Linked DNA regions of Drosophila melanogaster. The protein of the gene in region 1 interacts with the protein of each later gene in a pairwise test. Each region holds a gene or a part of one and is shown in the gene's direction. Other genes may lie near its edges.

Region 1 (4,655 bases):
AATTATTTGACGCGACATTTGCAGTTTGCAGTTTTACGATCCCATACCGAGCATCGAACATCGCGGCAATCAATGAATTTATTTTTTACAGATTTAGAGAGGATTTCTGGAATCTCGGGATTACTCAATCGGCGCGAGCTTAGCGTTCTTTTTAGGGATTACAATTGGGAGTAGCTGTGTGGTATCGAAATTCTTGCGAAAAATTAATAAGAATGGTGTTAGCTGACCTGGAATTTGTGAGGCAGGAATATGTTTAACCAACTATACCTTATTCCAATGAATATATTATATTCCTTTGTGTAAGGAAAAATTATAGTCAGATAGTTTGAAAATAATTGGACAATGATTTCACATTCTAATCTTAGGGTATATTACATGTATAGTTTTATAATTAATGCCACAATATGAATATTTGGAATTTGTTATATTGCCAATATATTATAATAATTAGGCGCGTTTGCAATCTTATGATCACACGCGTGTCTGTCATAAATTATAAATAAATCAATTTATTTATTATTATTCAAATTGCGTTCAATTATTAGTTTTTATGTTAGTGAGGAGGTTTTGTAAATGGGTTTATTGATATTATTAATTCTTTACCGTATTGGGCCAATTTTGCCTTTTGCTTCACGAAATGGGTAACACTTTTGCTAAAGTCGTTATGAAATAATAATCGATATTTCAATTCCACCCATTTGTTAAACTTCCAGCGAAGTTTGATCGAAAATAAGTTCTCATGGGAATTTAAATTGATTAGTCATATTTTTGGTAATGAAGCTGGAAACTTTCGATTTACATTAAATGATAGATCCGTCAAAAGATCACCTCATTTTTAGTACCATCTTTTTTTTTTACATAAGCCCCTTGTATCACATCTTGCACCTTATCAATGCCAGACTTCTTCCGCTATATTTGAGTTCCCTGCGAATTTTTATCGCTGCTTACATGTCAATTATGGCATTAGCTTTACAACTAGAACCGAACAATAGTGCTTTGACAATATCGAGGCGCCCATATAAACAGCGATTGCTTGGCAAACACCAAAAGTCTGGACATCAAGTGTGTGCAGATCAAACACGGTATATGGATATGGAGAATAAAATCCGGAGGATAAAACATTGATTATTCCCCAGATAGAGGTACATATATCGCGACTATTACGACCGTGGCAACATAATTTTACAGCCACTAATTGCATAATACACACGCATCTCCGCAATTACTTAATTAGCCAACGGCAATTGCAATTAAAGTACATACAAATCGAAAGCGGGCCATAAAGGAAAAGGGGTTTTCTTGGCCAAGATATTACGACAAACTGCATACCTGGCTCAATGGGGCGTGGCCACCTGCCTGCCAGCCATCGCAGACCGGTGCGAAAGAGACGGAGCACCAGACAGACGGAGATAGCGGTAGTCAAGCACTCAGGCCATCTTGAATTTCGACCGAGCAACGGAAATGAGGGTTAAAAACGCCCAAGTAAAGGCACTGCTCGTGCGCTAGAAAGAGACAACTAGTGAGTGCCGACTGCGGTGGTTGTTTTTTTTGAGCCTCTCTGCCTGTTTATCTGATTTTCCACTGCTTTGAGTTTTTTATCAGTCGAGTCTTGCTCTACGTTTCAGTACGTGTTCGACCTGCATACTGAGTTGACGTCGCCACGCACGGAATAACATTTCAAATTAGTAGATTAGCCCTGCAAAACAAAAATCCATCTCGTGAGTGAGTGCTGAAAAATAGCGTTTCGAAATATTATCGATATCTCGGTCGTATGTTACTGTGCTCCCAAAAAACACATCACCAGCCAGTGATAACTGTAAAGATTGACAAAGCAAAATATATCCATTATAACCCAAACTGAAACTCCAGAAAATGTGCAACTAAAACATATTGGCCATCAAAGTGATAAGACTTAGAGATTAACGCCGGATTATTGGACACCGGACCGAGCACTGGGACTATCTTCGGAGAAAGCGCACCTAATCTAACCTCAAAATGGTTTCGCACTACTACAACACACTGCCCTACACACAAAAGCACAGTGCCGCCAATTTGGCCTATGCCTCAGCGGCGGGCCAGCCATGGAACTGGACGCCCAACTACCACCACACGCCGCCGAACCACCAGTTCCTGGGCGATGTGGACTCCTCGCATGCCGCCCACCACGCGGCCGCTGCCCACCAGATGTACTACAACTCCCATCACATGTTCCACTCGGCGGCGGCGGCCTCTGCCGGGGAGTGGCACTCACCCGCCTCGAGCACGGCGGATAACTTCGTTCAGAATGTGCCCACGTCGGCCCACCAGCTGATGCAGCAGCACCACCATCATCACGCCCATGCCTCCAGCAGTTCCGCCAGTTCCGGGAGCAGCAGTAGCGGTGGTGCACCGGGTGCGCCCCAGCTCAACGAGACCAACAGCAGCATCGGCGTCGGAGGAGCAGGCGGTGGCGGTGGTGTTGGCGGGGCCACCGATGGAGGACCAGGTTCCGCACCACCCAACCATCAGCAGCACATCGCCGAAGGTCTGCCGTCGCCACCGATTACCGTTTCGGGCTCGGAAATCTCTAGCCCGGGGGCGCCGACTTCTGCCTCGTCGCCGCATCATCACTTGGCACACCATTTGAGTGCCGTCGCCAACAACAACAACAACAACAACAACAACAACAATAGCCCATCCACCCATAACAACAACAACAATAACAATTCGGTGAGCAACAACAACAGGACATCGCCATCGAAGCCGCCATACTTCGACTGGATGAAGAAGCCCGCCTATCCAGCACAACCACAACCAGGTGAGTCCTTAGAGACCCAAGAATATATTAAATACAGATTTAGTGTTTTATGAGGGGGTATGATCGGTTACTTCATAACTTTATGAGTAAGGCTAATAACCTGCTTTTACTGCAAAGTTAAGGTCTATGCTTGCCATTGTCACTAGCTTGTATGAGTTTTTTTTTTTTAATCGAATGTGAAATAAGATCTTACTCACCGAAGGCTTTTAGTCCGAAAGACCTCGATTACCCGAATTTTTGTGTATTCAGCTACTTAGTCATTCCACTGACCTTCGATTCCGCGTACCCTGCGCTTGGGTTTCTCCCGCATCCGCCTGGCTACATTCCGAACCCGAAGATTCCATATTGCCCAGCACATAATGCACTGCATTGTCTTCCCGCCAAGCTCGTGCTGTTCGCGCTTTTCCCTGTCCATCTCTCACGGTACATATATGGGCTTTTATAAGAATCCGTTTGCCTGGCGCGCATCCAAGTCCAAATGGCCAATTAGCTCATAAAAATCAAATTCTGTTCAAGCTTCACTTTTATGATATTCAGTTGGGGTCGCGAGATCCCCGATCCGACGCCTTGATTTATGGCCACCCCGTGTTCACCGTCCACATGAGTGTTTCTGTTTGTTTGCTCCACTCTGTCTCCGTCTCGATTCCGATTCCATTGACTAATTTTGTATCGTAAATCAACTTAACAACTATAAGCATTTGAAAATGGTTTGATCAACTTACCAATAACCAGACAGCATTTGATGGAAAGTCCATCAGAGTAGAGGACTGGACTGTAAAGGCTTAGGAAAGTTAGGGAGTTCGGAACCTATTTCACAGCAATTAGCATTATGTGGAGTGTCTAATTGAAGGTTTCACTATTTTCTAAAAATAGTGAATATTCTGAATAATAAGTGAATAATACCCAATTCGACTCTCTTCTCTCAGTTCATGCAAATTTTCTGTGATTATGTGGATTTCTTGCGTTTTGTTTGCTGTGTTTTCCTACACCTCTGGAAAAACAAGCAAAGGCAATTCAGATGGCAGTGCAGCGATCTCAAACATGAGAAGGAATAAACCACTCACACATTTGTTCACGATTTATGACCCGGGCGCATGTCAAGAAGGGGAAAATGAAGACGACGATATCGACGATATCGACAATAACGCCGATATCCATTAAGCCCATAAAATCTGTTGGCATGCAATTAGCGTTTATGGCCGCTAATCCAGCTGATCAAGCCGACAAGGCGACTCAAGTTTGCCTTATTTATTATTATTCAAAACCCCCTTTAGCCTCCGCTGTCTGAATGTCACCTTTCTGACGCGCGACTGATTGTAATTCTTGCCGTATTTCATTTGCCTAAAAAGCACAAATATTTAAGTAAGAATAAATATTATATAAAAATAAAGTTAGATATTATTTACAGCCACTATGAGCGATCAGCAGCACCTTTTGCCAACACTTTGCTCAGGTATTATCTCTCTGGCATTTTCTTTGAATTGATGGTCTCGCCAAATCGAGTAATAATTAGTAATCTGCCTTTTCCAACAGAAGAGAAGAGGGGGGCTGTGACTAACACTTCGTGATTTTTGATAGAATTATAAAAGGTCCATTTTCCGTTGTCTGCGCGGCATGTGGCGGCATGTGGCGGCAGGGCACGTCGAAGGCCCACTTCAGCTTTCGGGGTGTGGCAATAAAACGGCAACCACGATTGTCGCTGGATGCAGATGCCGTGTACTTTTGTTTCAATGGCTGGTGGTTCGGGCGGGTTTTTCGATTAGATTAGCTAGCGTGGGGAATCAAATAAACGCCCGCCCTGTCAATAAGTCCTGAAAACCCCACCCAACCCATGGGGCTGCGAGTTCTATTTTCTGTT
Region 2 (4,826 bases), on another chromosome or scaffold:
ACTTTACATTTCGCAGGGCACAGTGGCGAAGCTCTGGAAACTGATGCACTATTATTCGCTCGGCGGCGGCTCTTAGGGAGTGTATGCGGAGATGTTGGTAATCCCCCATCCTCAGACGATCGTGATACACCTCCATAGCGTGACAGGAGATCTCACGGGCCTCGTAGCTGAGTTGGCATTCGTTTTTATCTTTGAGTTCACTGCTCAACGGGTACCCATGGACATGCTCCCTGGGATGGGTGGACTGGGTAGTCATCTTCTGGTAGCAACAGCCCACAAAATTGAGGAACTTGGCCTGCGGGCAGCCGAGAAACATGCGCATCAGTGTCGGGCCCAGATTGCCACAGGGATGCAGGCCTATCACACCAAATCGGAAATTGTCGTCTGTTAGCTGCAGGGCCTGCCGAATGCTGGATAGGAACTGCTCTGGCTTAGTGCTGCTCTCCAAGCGATGTGTAAGGTGTACTGGTCGCTGAAAGTGTGTGGTTTCATCCTCTGATAGGTGTTTTGCTGCCATGGACTCCAGCTTTAAATCAATTTCCCTTGCTTGCTGATTGAGATCGGGTTGCATCTCATAGCAGCACACTCGTAGTCCATACCCGTAGCCCAAAACACGTGCTAGGTGACCGACACCAGCCCCAAAGTCGACAATAAAGTCCACAGGAGTTTTTTGTTGACTCAGGGCACAGATTTCGGCCATTCGAATGATTTCATGGTGCTTCTTTGGCTTAACCCGCTTTAGGAACACGTATTTTAGCTTGGGGTGATCAAGAAGTGAGCAAGGAAGGGAGTTCTAAGTGAAGAAAGATATTTTAAACTGATTTTGATACAAATACTGACGGGATTTTACCAACATCAGGCGGGTGCTTTGGTACACGGCTGACGCAGAGTTTCCTAAGCTCCTCTTGCAGGTTCTTCAGATCCAATGGCCATGTCAGCTGGGTATTATGATTCTCATTTTTGAGCAAATCTCCAAGGTTCTCCAGAGGAATGCTTTCTAAGTGCTTTTGCCAATTCCCTGGAAGTTTACTCCAATGATCGTCTATGAAGAAGTCCTATAAATAAGAATTTTATACTCATGAAAGTCTTACAAATAAAAATCGCAATAAAAAAAAGGCGCAAAGCAAAGGAGGCGAAAATACATGATCAACATGAGGTATCCAAGGAACACACGTCGCAGTAGGAAGCCCAATTCTGGTTATATATGGTGCCCATGGAAAAAAGATTCAGGAGGTGTACCAGGAGGTGTATCAATAGGTTTACCCACAACAAAACTTCTCCAGCATTACTCAACGTGCAATCTCAATATTCAATATTAATTTGGATGGAAACACTATAACTTCATTAAGCCGCACGAATATTGTAGACAACAAAGCTAACATTTTAACAAAGCTAACTTACCAGTACATAGGCATCCAACAGCCATTCATATTTCTTTAACAATTCCAAACCTCTTTCGAGTTTTTCTCTTACAATCAACATGTTTAACAAAGAAATAATAAATATTCGTACATCAAAACATTACTATCCTATACGCGTATGTACATCGTTTTTCATAGTCGAGTTTTCAACCATGGGCGGAGTCCGCAATTTCGATAGTCGACTACAAAAGTTAAAAATGGTATGTTGACAACAATAAATTTTTCCTCGATATTATTTTAACTCAGTATATTCAAAAATATAAATATATAAAAATATCAAGTTTTAAATTCTTTTTGGAATTTTGCGGAACTTGAAAACACGGAATAAGTTCACAGTCTCCCGACTATTCGATTGGCATTAAAATCAGCGGTTCACCCGTCATCGATGTTCTTGCAGCCCGCTTTCCCACCTCTATCACCAACGAATTTGCATAAAAAACTTTCAGCGAGCTAAAAGCGCGCACGGCGTTACCGATTCTGGTGCAGTTCGCTAGCTTTTCCGCATTATTTCGTCCTGTGAAATTTAGTTGCCCCTGGCATATGTACCGTGTCCGCTTAAGAGAGCTGGTGAATACGGAAAACGAAGTTCCCTATTATCGACGACGAGCGCTCGAGAAGTCTTTTTTGAACTGCGAATTCAAGTGTTTTGTTTGTTGTCCGCGTCGCTCTTCATGATTATCATGTCTTATTTACCCTTACGAAGGGAAAACCGAAAGTAGAACCCGCAAGCCGCAGAAACTGTAAATTATGTAAAAGTGTATGGCCAACAACAAGTCGTTATGTGCATCAGTATGAGTGCGTGCGTTGAGTGAGCTTATCAGAAAAGTTTAATGGAGGCTGCGCCGGTAATTTCTCCATGTCACCACCCCAGTCTGCAGCAACAACAACTGCACGCGGCGTACAACAAAAGCAACTGTAAATAACCGCTGCCCTTTGATGAGCGCCCCATTAAAAACTGTAAGTCCGACGCACATTGCACATCATTGTCGCATCGTTGTAATATTTGCATGAACGTACACGTGTGCTTCCATACATATGTACGTACATCGCTTTGTTGCACTCACCTTGCCCTCGTCATCTCGCTTTCTGGCCCTGCGCCAAGAAATTAACCCCATCAAGCCGATGGGGTGTCAGCAGGTGCAGTTATTCGTACCCCAGATCAGGGATGCTAAGGTTTCCGAAAACTGATTGTTTTCGTTAAGATCAAAATCGTTGTTTTCCATCTTCTTCGCATTTCAAGAATATAAAGAAATCAAGTGTGCATTACATTTCAGAACAAGTACACTAAAAGAAATTGTAACAAGATATAAAGTAAAAGTGCAATATTTATTTACACGAAAAAGAGAATATATTGTAAAACGAATACATAAGTGTAGTTCAGAATCGTCATTCCCAACTTTTGCATAAATGATAAAATTACATAGTATCAAATTGAACCTGTAAAACTTTCGTACAGGTTTGATACCCAATTAGCATTAAGTTCATACTTTGTGGAGTGTATTCAATTACCAACCATTTGCAATTAACAACCAATGCAAACCAAATCCACTGTAACTCAGTATTTTTGTAAGTTTTGGGACGTTTAAGAGTTCAGAGAGAATAAGAGAATAAGAGTTTATAGGAAGCATTCAGAAAAACAAAACCAAAAAATTTTTCTACATTATATTTGTTTAAAATTCCTCATATTGAAAAATAATAAATCCTCACAAATAAGTGTTTATTCGGAACGAGCAGAATAAATCTTTGTATACTTCAAGTATACTTCGACAGTATAGAATATTTTGAATAATATACGTTTTTGATTAGAATTCCTCATATACAGAAGGATAATACGTCCTCACAAAAAAGAATTAAATTTGAGAGCATGATGAAGAAAACGGACTTTACTTAAAGTAACCAATATCAAACGCACGAAAAATTAACAATTCTAAGGTGCCTGTTTTAATTTTCATTAACAGGAGAACCAATAATGTTAACAACGGGAAACTGCAGCCATAATGATGATGACGGGATAAACAAATAAATGCTCAATAACCTAATTGCGTGGCAAGTCATAGAAGCGAACGATGATGGTCTAGTGCCAAACGCTGTGTAATAGACCAAATTGCCACTCGGCTAAAAGGGAAAGCCAAAAGCCTTCAGACTGGAGGCCTCACTCACGCTGAAGCGCATCTTTGCCCGCAAAATTGGCTACAAGGCGAAGACGAAGTCAATTTTAGCGGCCATGCGCACGAAACACCTGATCCTGATACTGATCGGAGTGATAATCGCCACGATCGTCTTCATCGCATTTGGTCCAGCCGGAGAGCCGAACGATTCATTCAAGAACATCGTTGTCCAGACGCACCAGCAGTTTAAAGAGTTCCAGGTGAGTTGACTCACGTTTGGGGGTCTTGAGTGCCGGGCGGGCCTCTGATACAAAACACTCCGCGCCCCAAGTTATGCTGAATGACTTAGATAAGGGTATTAAATAACAATTATCTGTTCGTATCTGGCGCTGGTGCGTTGAAACTGTCACAGATAAATCGGGAAAACTGAAACCCCAGTGCACCGTTTGTCATTTGTTGTTTCTTTGATTCGAAGCGCTTGAACTTATCGCCGGGGTGTAGCTCGAAAAAAAATGAATGCGAATCTAATTGTTTTACAAGCACGCCAGCCATGATTCATATGTAGATTCCACTATCAGCAGATAGTCAAGTGCCTATGTACACAGACAGCTAGGACAGGACTTTTCTGGCAATTGCTTTTGGCAGCGTCTGGCTATTGACATCACACTTGGCCTTGAACTGCGTTCCGCCCCCCGGCAACAACCACTCGAGTAGCTTATTTTCCGCTCACTCTGTGCTCTTGGTCAAATTAATGCGCGTCCTTCGGGGTGGGCGGGTCGGTTCGAAAGCTAGATACGCCAGGCTGTCTGGCACATTTGGCCAAATCAAACAGCCGGCAGCCAAATGAAAGTCATCAGCATCACTCACATAAGCGTCTGGAAGGCAGAGAGGCAAAGGGGACGGGTGTTGACCAGGGTCGGGTTCATTTCGGAACACTTTTGGCCGTGCTCTGGCAAACAAAAACTCGAGGCCACTGCTGGCTGTGTTTACGTTTCGCCTGCCAGAGCGTTTACTGTTTACACTAATTAGATTCCGGCCGGAGTCCGGTTGCACAGCCCGATGAGCTATTGGGTAACCTGCGGTTAACCACGGCTCCGAGACCACGTCGCTGAAGGATTTCTTGCGTCTAGGGAAAACTTAATAGATTGCATAGCAAGATGGTTATAAATCATCGCTATGCATTTCATGTTTAGCTACGCAAAGAAGGTGTTCTTTTCCCATCACGTACTCATAAAGGCAATTTTAATAGTGCCCAAACGCCGAGTCTCTGCTTCAAAGTTTACAACTGGCTGTTATC
Region 3 (8,002 bases), on another chromosome or scaffold:
ACCAAAAAGGAAAGCTAGAAAAATAATACAATTATAACCAAAACAAGAGCGCAATAAAGAATATATAAAAATTAAATTCCATAGCGTCATTCCAGACAAAGATCGGCGATACTGTCAACTGGCCGAGAACACTTGAGGCTAGATAACTTTTAGGCTATGGTTTCTTAAGGTTTTGGTTCGCTTCTATGGTCTTTCACGGACATAGCACTTGAAACTCCATGGAGGTGGACAAGTTGAAGGGTGTACGATTCCGGGTGTACACGATATGCCATGGTCAGCAATCTTAAGACTCTGTCTGTTTCGCCGCCCCTAAGTCTTCCGTCTTAGGGTCGTAAATTCGCCGGCAAAGCACCTAAAGCTAGGCGCGGCGGTGCCATCAATTAGGGTATTAATTGCCCGGCTCTGCCGTGGCAAGAGAGCCACCTCGATGAGTCAGTCCTGTGGCCGGGTATCCAGTTTGGAGTCCTCCTCCTCAGCATTAATCTCCTGTAATGTTGATTTCGTGTAGCGCCATTTGTAACGATCGAAACTGGCATAGCCGTCAACTTTTTGAGTGATTAATCACCGCACAGATATTTCGCGACACGCAGCAGTAGCTACTATTAGATACTTTTTGTCTGCCGGTTTTGCTCTTAAGATTTGCCCATGATTTATGCACCGCATGCGTTGCAACAATTAAAATTATCGCCTCAACTCGATTTCCATTCATGGGAGCAGCGGAAAGTTGCCCGTAATTGTGGCATTATAAGCAACTCCGAGGGGATTGTGCATGTTAATGGCCGTCATATATCTGCTTGCTTTATGACTTTAACTATAAACAATTTATGATTCGCTGGGCCAACTTGGCTGGGTGGCCAAGATATGTGGCTAACTTACAGATTGCAGCTCTTCGAAGAAAAGAAAGCAAGGAGTTGGTACGGATTGCCATAGGGGCTTAGCATTAAGCATATAAGCCTAGATTGAATTTTTTAGAATTTAAGTCATGGTTTTCATATACATTTTATTATAAAATGTACTATTTAGCTACTACATCCCTATATATAGTAAAGATATGTTTACAATATTTATCTACACATACATCTCTGCTTACAAAGTATCTGTAATTGACAGGTTGAAAAATATATCAGATTTCTGACCAAGCACTCCAATCACCCAACCACTTCAAACTCAATCTTTTCCTGGCTGGTGACAATTCAGGGGTTTTGCAATATATGCGCCGCACCTGATCCTCGACCACGTGTGCTCCTGCCCTCCACCTCCGCCTCCTCCGGCGGTGTTTATTAGTTACAACACTCGAGAGTGGATTGTGAAGTGTGGAGAACTAGAAGAACTGGAGAAGTGGAAGTGGAGCGCAACAACCGAGCAGTCGAGCTGTCAAAGCGGCCCACATTCGGGCGACTGTTCGTGGGGTCATATAAAGTTTCCGTGCCCATGCCCATGCCCAGTCCCACTTTCCAGGCCCAAGCCCGATCCGATGATATTCTGTTGACGTTGACTAACGTTGCTCGAGTTTATTAGTTTGCCAGAAAAGTGTTTTATGAGTGCAATTAGAAAATGCGCTAGACTAAATTGCACAATTGACAAATAGCAGGGGGCGAGGGTGAGGAGCGCTGAAGGGTGGAAATGGAATCAAATGTGGTGCTGGCTGAACTGTGCCGGCTGGTGGGCCTCTTGACGCCACTCTTCGGAAACCTCGGAACATTGGTGTAACATAGGTGTGTTGGAAAATCGGCCGAGCGCGCAGGCGCAATTTGTATCTCACGGATACTTATCGCAACCGTGGCACCAACACTCGTTGCGTATCTTATCGCATGTGTGTCGATAAGATAACCAATACCAGGCGAGGCGGTACAGAATAAATCATAACGCTGCCACACCGACAGGACCACGCACCCACACAGGTGTGAGGCCGCCCAACCGCAGAGGCGCTGGATCTTCATCGGTGTGGGTAGCTAATTGGGCGGCAAACGCGCCGCAGGCACCGCATTGCGTCGCCGTCGTTGTTGTCATCGCAAGTGAGGTGCTTGGTGCTCAGAGTGCTCAGTGTTTAGTGTATCGAGCCCATAGACCGGAGACCAGTGCCACCACCAGAGCCCAGTTGGTCTCGAAAAAATAGCACTTCGTATCACTGCTAACTGGCAAAGGTTGCGCGCGGGCCACAACCACAATCGCCCCACGGGTGACAGCATTAGATCGCCCCCAAAGCTCCAAAGTTCCTACTTTCCCAAGTTACCAATTTTCGTCAATTTTCGCCAATTTTCCCCACTTGCTCACTTTGCGCGGCACTTTTTCGGGCGCCCAGATTGATAGGAGAAGTGAACCAAACACCTGGACAAGCCGTGCTTGTGATAAATTTTTGAAAACACAACAGAACTGAAATCAAGTGATAAAAACCAATCTTAGATAAAACGCTGGAAGAAACGCAAAGAAGCGGCGTAACTTCAATTTGATGGTCTGCAAAACTATCTCACCGAGTGTAAACATGCAGCTGAAGGTGGGTAAAATAAACTTATAATTATTCAAAAATAGTCAGCGTAATTTTTGGGTATTATATATTAAGTTTGCCAAGTCGGTATTTTCTTTTCAAAACCAATTCCGTTTAAAATCCATATCGGAATGGAGAATATCAACCTGACCGCTTAAAGCAACTATACGTGAACTCTATTAAAAACATTTAAATACCTTTTTGATGCTCATTTACGAGATCTCTATAAGCCTATCTATCATTTCTACTTTGTTGAAAGATCATAAAAGTTTTTAACGTTTTCTCACACAAGTTCATTAAGCTAAATAGACAGGCCATATAGGGTCATTAAAAGCAGATAGTTCAAGTTTATAGATCAGTCGCAAGGCACGAATAAATATTAATTTATTAATTAACGGAGTATAAAGAGCTTTCAAAGGTATTTACAGCTCGAATAGCCATATAGATTTTACATCCTTCGGTGTACCGAGCCAGAAAATGATTTTAGCCCGCAAACGGCAGCGATATGGATTTTTTTCAGTTCTAGCGCCAGGGAAATAAGATAAGACAAATTGATTTATAATGAATGAGTCATCTGGGATGCAGCGGCAAACTGCGACACTTATTTTGGTGTCTGCTCTTGGAAGAAAAACCGAACCGAAACGAACCGAAACCATTAAGAAAACGAGAATGGGTACGAAAACGGGGCAACAAGAAAGCAAGTTAAATGTGGAAAGATGGCTAATCTTTATGAGGTCCAAATTCAGCTGCGATCGAAGGTGGCGTCAAAATACCTTTGACAAAAATAAAATTTGAAACACGCAGCCGACTTTCAACTGCTCGCTCCTCTTCATTCATGAAAAGGGACTGTTTTTACCCATTTTTTGCTGGCCACGGATAATGTGAAATTTATGTCAATCTTATCACCTCGCTTTGGTCCTGCTCCTTATCCCTGTCTCTAGCGTATCCTTCATGGGCTTGGGGTTGGTTTTGTGAATGAATGCCAACCCTTGGCTCATCTGGGGGTACTTTTTATCCTGCCGGAAGTGTCCTTTCGACCAATGGAAGAACAGTCCCTTAACAGTTGCTCAATGGCGGCATCGATAGTTGCAGTTCCAGTTGCAGATACTTTTATTAGACACGCGTCGCCAGTTGACAGTGGATGATGGCTGATAGGAGAGAGGGCGAAGGTTGCGATTGATGGCCCTTTAATAGAGCTGTAAATGCAGCTGGCAGTCGAGAGTCTTATCTCACTTTCATTAGCCAACTGCAGTGAAGTTTAATTAATCGAAGGATCTTCTAACGAGGGCAGATATAAAGGGTATAAATGTATATCCAAAAATGGGTACATTTATTTACTTCCCATTCTTTTGTTAATTATATAGATATTTTGAAAGTGCTCTCACATCTTTAGCCTTTAAGCAGTCTTACCCAAGAAATTGTTCATATTTTTTTATAAGTCTAAAATAAAAAGTAAAACTGGCAAAGAATTTCCTCGAGAAATTTAGAATTTTAACAAAAATAGCATTCATCACAACTGCATTATATTCAAGTTTTATAGTTCTATTCAGTTCTAAATGCCTTAAAATGTTTGGTCAGAGCTGCCTTTGAAATTTGCTCAACCACGAACCCAAGCTCAACGAAAGCGAAACGAGGTGCGATTATATAGTCAATATCTTTTGTTTATATAGATAAAGTACGAAATGTACGTGTGTGTGTGTGTGTGTATGGTTGTGGGTGTGACTGGGCAGATTTCATTCATAAGTTCAGCGGACTCCACACCCTCGCAACGATTCTTGACTAAGCCGAGCAAATAGCGCATGCCATTGCCATTCTCGGGTGACAAACATCGCTTGCACAACTTTTGTAATTCTTGGATATATCTGTCCCTATTGATGACGTAGCCGCAACTGAGAGTGGGTGCGGGCAGTTGGGGGATACCAACCATGACCTCTCAGTCCCAGCAGCAGCAGCAGCAGCTGATTATGTACATTGATAGCGCCCGGATAAGATATTGTCCGTATCGTTCGGCCGTAGTATCTTAACTTTTTCGCGGTACATGGCACGTGCATGGGGGCCTACCTATCGTACTACTACTATATACACACACTCAAAGTCGGGTTTATCTGCATTTCGGGCAGACGATTGTCTGAAGTGACGTTTGCACCACATTATCTCGCACCCTTTCCATCCAGGGAATTCTTTGAACTTTGGCCAAGACGTTGAAAACTTGGCACGGTCATCACCGCCGGCGGAATGCAATCAGTTTCCATGGAACTCTTTCGTCCCCCATTTATATGCCTTCCACATAAGTAATTAAACTTTGTACCTTGGTAAGCGTTAGATTTTTCATTTTTACGGCTTGTCACCAACTGAATCATCATTGAACTTGGCTTGTGTCCACGCAAAAAATGTATCAATCATTTGTGGCACGTCAACCTAAAGTTCTGCGAAAGTGAATCAATTTTCATTAAATGGAAGATAAAGTATTAGTTTTTTCATATAAAGGGAGAGTGGGGATTTTTATGGAATGTATTAAATCAATTCAGCGTGGTGATTATTTTCGGAAAAAAAAAACACCTGTACAAGTATATGGTTATATCTCAGTTAAAAGCAATTATCTTTGCAATATATTTCAATGGCCACAAAAATTTTCCTTTAGTGTTGCTGTGGATTTCCTCAATTGACGGTGGTGATGGTTACACATAAGCACACACATTTTTTGGTATATTTATAGCCATGGTAAAGGTGGAAACCACCTGAAAGCCTCTGAGCTATATGGCACTTGTCATGAGCGGACTGGCGGTAAATTTCAACCTGGCCGCATCGTGAATCAGGTGACAGTGACGATCGAATGTGTTGACACAAGCTCGAGGATGGGAATGGGGATGGGGATGGGTATGGGGCTTTGGAGTGGAAGTGGAAGTGCCACCCCCAACGGAATGAGGTCATAAACCCAAAAGCGACTGACGTATGGCGGGGAAAGCAAAGCGATTTTATGGCCAAGTTTAATTTCCGCCAAAAGCCAAACTAAACCAAAAAAAAAAAAAAAAAAAACCACGAATACACAAGAAAAATGAAAACGAAACCAAGGCACCGCTCTGAGTTTAGGGTTCTGTGAGCAAATACTTCTGCTGGTGGAAATGAAATGGAATAAAAGTGAAAAATGTGTTCGACAATGTTGACACTGAGCAACTGAGTGGTAGAAAGGAGAGGGGTCGCCTCCAAGCCCGTCTCCGTTCGGCTCAGTTTCTGGTACTTTACGGTTGTAGGCGACAAATTGAGCTGTGAGTCGAGCGCGGGCGGTGTCTTTGAAGTCCGTCTCAGCGGTCTTGGTTGGGCTTGCGTCTTGTTGACTTTTGTGGCGGAAACCGAGGCGGGCAGTTCGCACTGCAACGGCCGGAACTGGAGCCACACTTTTGAGACGAGCCGGGCGAAACATGGCATTCAACACTTGTCGCTTGCTCATTGCAGATGGAACAGCAGACAACGCAGCAGCAGCAGCAGCAACAGCAACAGCAACAGCAACAGCAACAATTGCAACAGCAACAGCATCAGGCTCTAACCAAGCAGCAGCTTCAACTGCTGGACAAAATCAAACTCGAGTCCAGCAACGGCGCCGATCAGTTGGCCCAGCAGACGGCCAACAATCTGGATGAGCAGCAGGAGCAGCAGCAACAACACCAACAGCAAGCCGCAACATCGGTGGGCGTGGTGGTGCAGACGGGCCAAGCGGGCGTCAGCGAACCGGAGGAGCAGTACGTGGTGGTGCCACGCAACCAGCGCCGTATTCTCACCACAGCCGGCACACTGTAAGTAACCTCTGGAGACCTTCTTTTCCTAAGAACATAAGCATTCACAAATTTCATTTTTAAACACAATCATCTAATGCAAATGGCAATCGATAGTTACAATTTACCATTGTTATTTAACAGTGTTATTAACAACATTTCAGTGAATTAAACGAAGCTCGTGAAGGAGAACCGAGCACAAACGCCAGCAACGCGAGCTCAGGATCTGCTTCGGATAGCCACATCGAGTACCAGCGCAGTGCACACCAATCTCCCGGAGCCACTCACTACGTGCAGATGGCGCCACGCAACGCAGAGGTGACGGAACAGGTGGGAGCTGCTGCCGGAGCTCCGCCGGGCACCATCTTCGCCTATCCTATTATCTGCAACGGTGACGATGTGGCCGCGATCAAAATCGAAACACTCGAGAAGGGAGAGGCGACGGGGGAGTCGCAACAACAGCAGCAGCAACTGCAGCAACACCAGCATCAGCAGCAACAGCAATGTCCCACACCCAACGGAGCTAGCTACGGCGAGACCATAGTGATCAGCAGCGAGGCGGAGGCACTGCAGCATCACCACCAACAGCAGCAGCAGCACCAGCAGCAGCAGCATCAGCAGCAACACCACCAACACCAGGCGGCAGCTGCAGCATCGGCGGCGGCCCAGACGGTTCACATTGCCACCAGTTCGCATGGTGGAACCGTGCGCTTCGTTACGGAGGATGTACGCTTCACCACCGCCGGACCGGAGACATCCGCCTCGAATATGTACTACGATGTACCCGTGGTGGATGGCAGTGTGCATGCCAACGAGTCCAAGACCTACGCCGACCTAGGCAACGCATATGCCCCCTTCCCGCCCAGCTCCAGCTTCAGTAGCAATAGCTATGCGGCAACGCTTCAGCAGGGAAACACTATTTACAGTGTTCCGGGCACCGGTCAATTCTTGGCCAAGTCCGAGTCTGGCCTAAATCAGACTGGACTGCTGCGCCAGACTGGACCGGCTACTTTTCAGACGATATCTTTTGAGGGCGGCAACGGCATCGAGCCTTTATGGGCATCTCCCGCCCCGCCGGAGTACCAGAGTGTTCAATTTGTAAGTATAATTTAAGTTACTGGTTCTTGAGGCGGTACATACTAACTGTTCTCCCGCATGCTGCACAGAGCAACTTCCATCCGCAGGTTATTGATGAATACGGGAGCGGCAATATGAGCACCTCCCACTGGCCGCCCGCCAGCAGCATAGGGCAGTACGATGGAAGTCTGGTGACCGCCTCGTCCACATCGTCGCCCAACCACGAGCTAAAGTGCGAGAACTGCCATGGGCCGTTCTTGCGGAAGGGTAGCGAGTACTTCTGTCCCAATTGCCCGGCCTTTATGCGGATGGCGCCCCGTATAACCCAGAGGCAGGCGAAGCCCAAGGCCGCCGCCGCCCCCAACAACCGGCGCAACGGGGTCACCTGCGCCAACTGTCAGACCAACTCGACGACCCTGTGGCGTCGCAACAACGAGGGCAATCCGGTGTGCAATGCCTGCGGACTGTACTACAAGCTGCACAACATGAACCGACCGCTGTCGATGAAGAAGGAGGGCATCCAGAAGCGCAAACGGAAGCCTAAGAACAACGGAGGAGCACCCATGCACCGAGCACCGCTGCCGAGTGAGTACACCTGCCAGGGATTACAGTATGCAATAAACTAATCCCAATTCCCAACCAGGCATGTCGCAGGGAGTCAACCTGATGG

The links. Proteins that work in one complex are often made in the same cells at the same time.
Region 2: the proteins of cad (region 1) and CG14764 interact in a two-hybrid assay, tested with the Drosophila melanogaster proteins (one large-scale study listed by BioGRID).
Region 3: the proteins of cad (region 1) and GATAe interact in a two-hybrid assay, tested with the Drosophila melanogaster proteins (one large-scale study listed by BioGRID).

Annotation. Positions count from the first base shown.
Region 1 is NT_033779.5:20,769,113-20,773,767, forward strand, and holds the start of cad (caudal), read left to right. Parts: upstream 1-1,618; 5' UTR 1,619-1,995; coding exon 1,996-2,797; intron 2,798-4,655. UniProt on the Drosophila melanogaster protein: Caudal (cad) is one of a number of transcription factors controlling segmentation of the embryo.
Region 2 is NT_033778.4:7,952,865-7,957,690, reverse strand, and holds the start of CG14764 (uncharacterized protein), read left to right. Parts: upstream 1-1,808; 5' UTR 1,809-2,378; intron 2,379-3,213; exon of another isoform or gene 3,214-3,313; intron 3,314-3,379; 5' UTR 3,380-3,645; coding exon 3,646-3,789; intron 3,790-4,826. Other genes in the region: CG2906 (uncharacterized protein), read right to left, coding at 1-793, 855-1,055, 1,402-1,482.
Region 3 is NT_033777.3:16,010,290-16,018,291, forward strand, and holds the start of GATAe (GATAe), read left to right. Parts: upstream 1-1,984; 5' UTR 1,985-2,449; coding exon 2,450-2,494; intron 2,495-5,938; coding exon 5,939-6,276; intron 6,277-6,419; coding exon 6,420-7,353; intron 7,354-7,421; coding exon 7,422-7,917; intron 7,918-7,975; coding exon 7,976-8,002.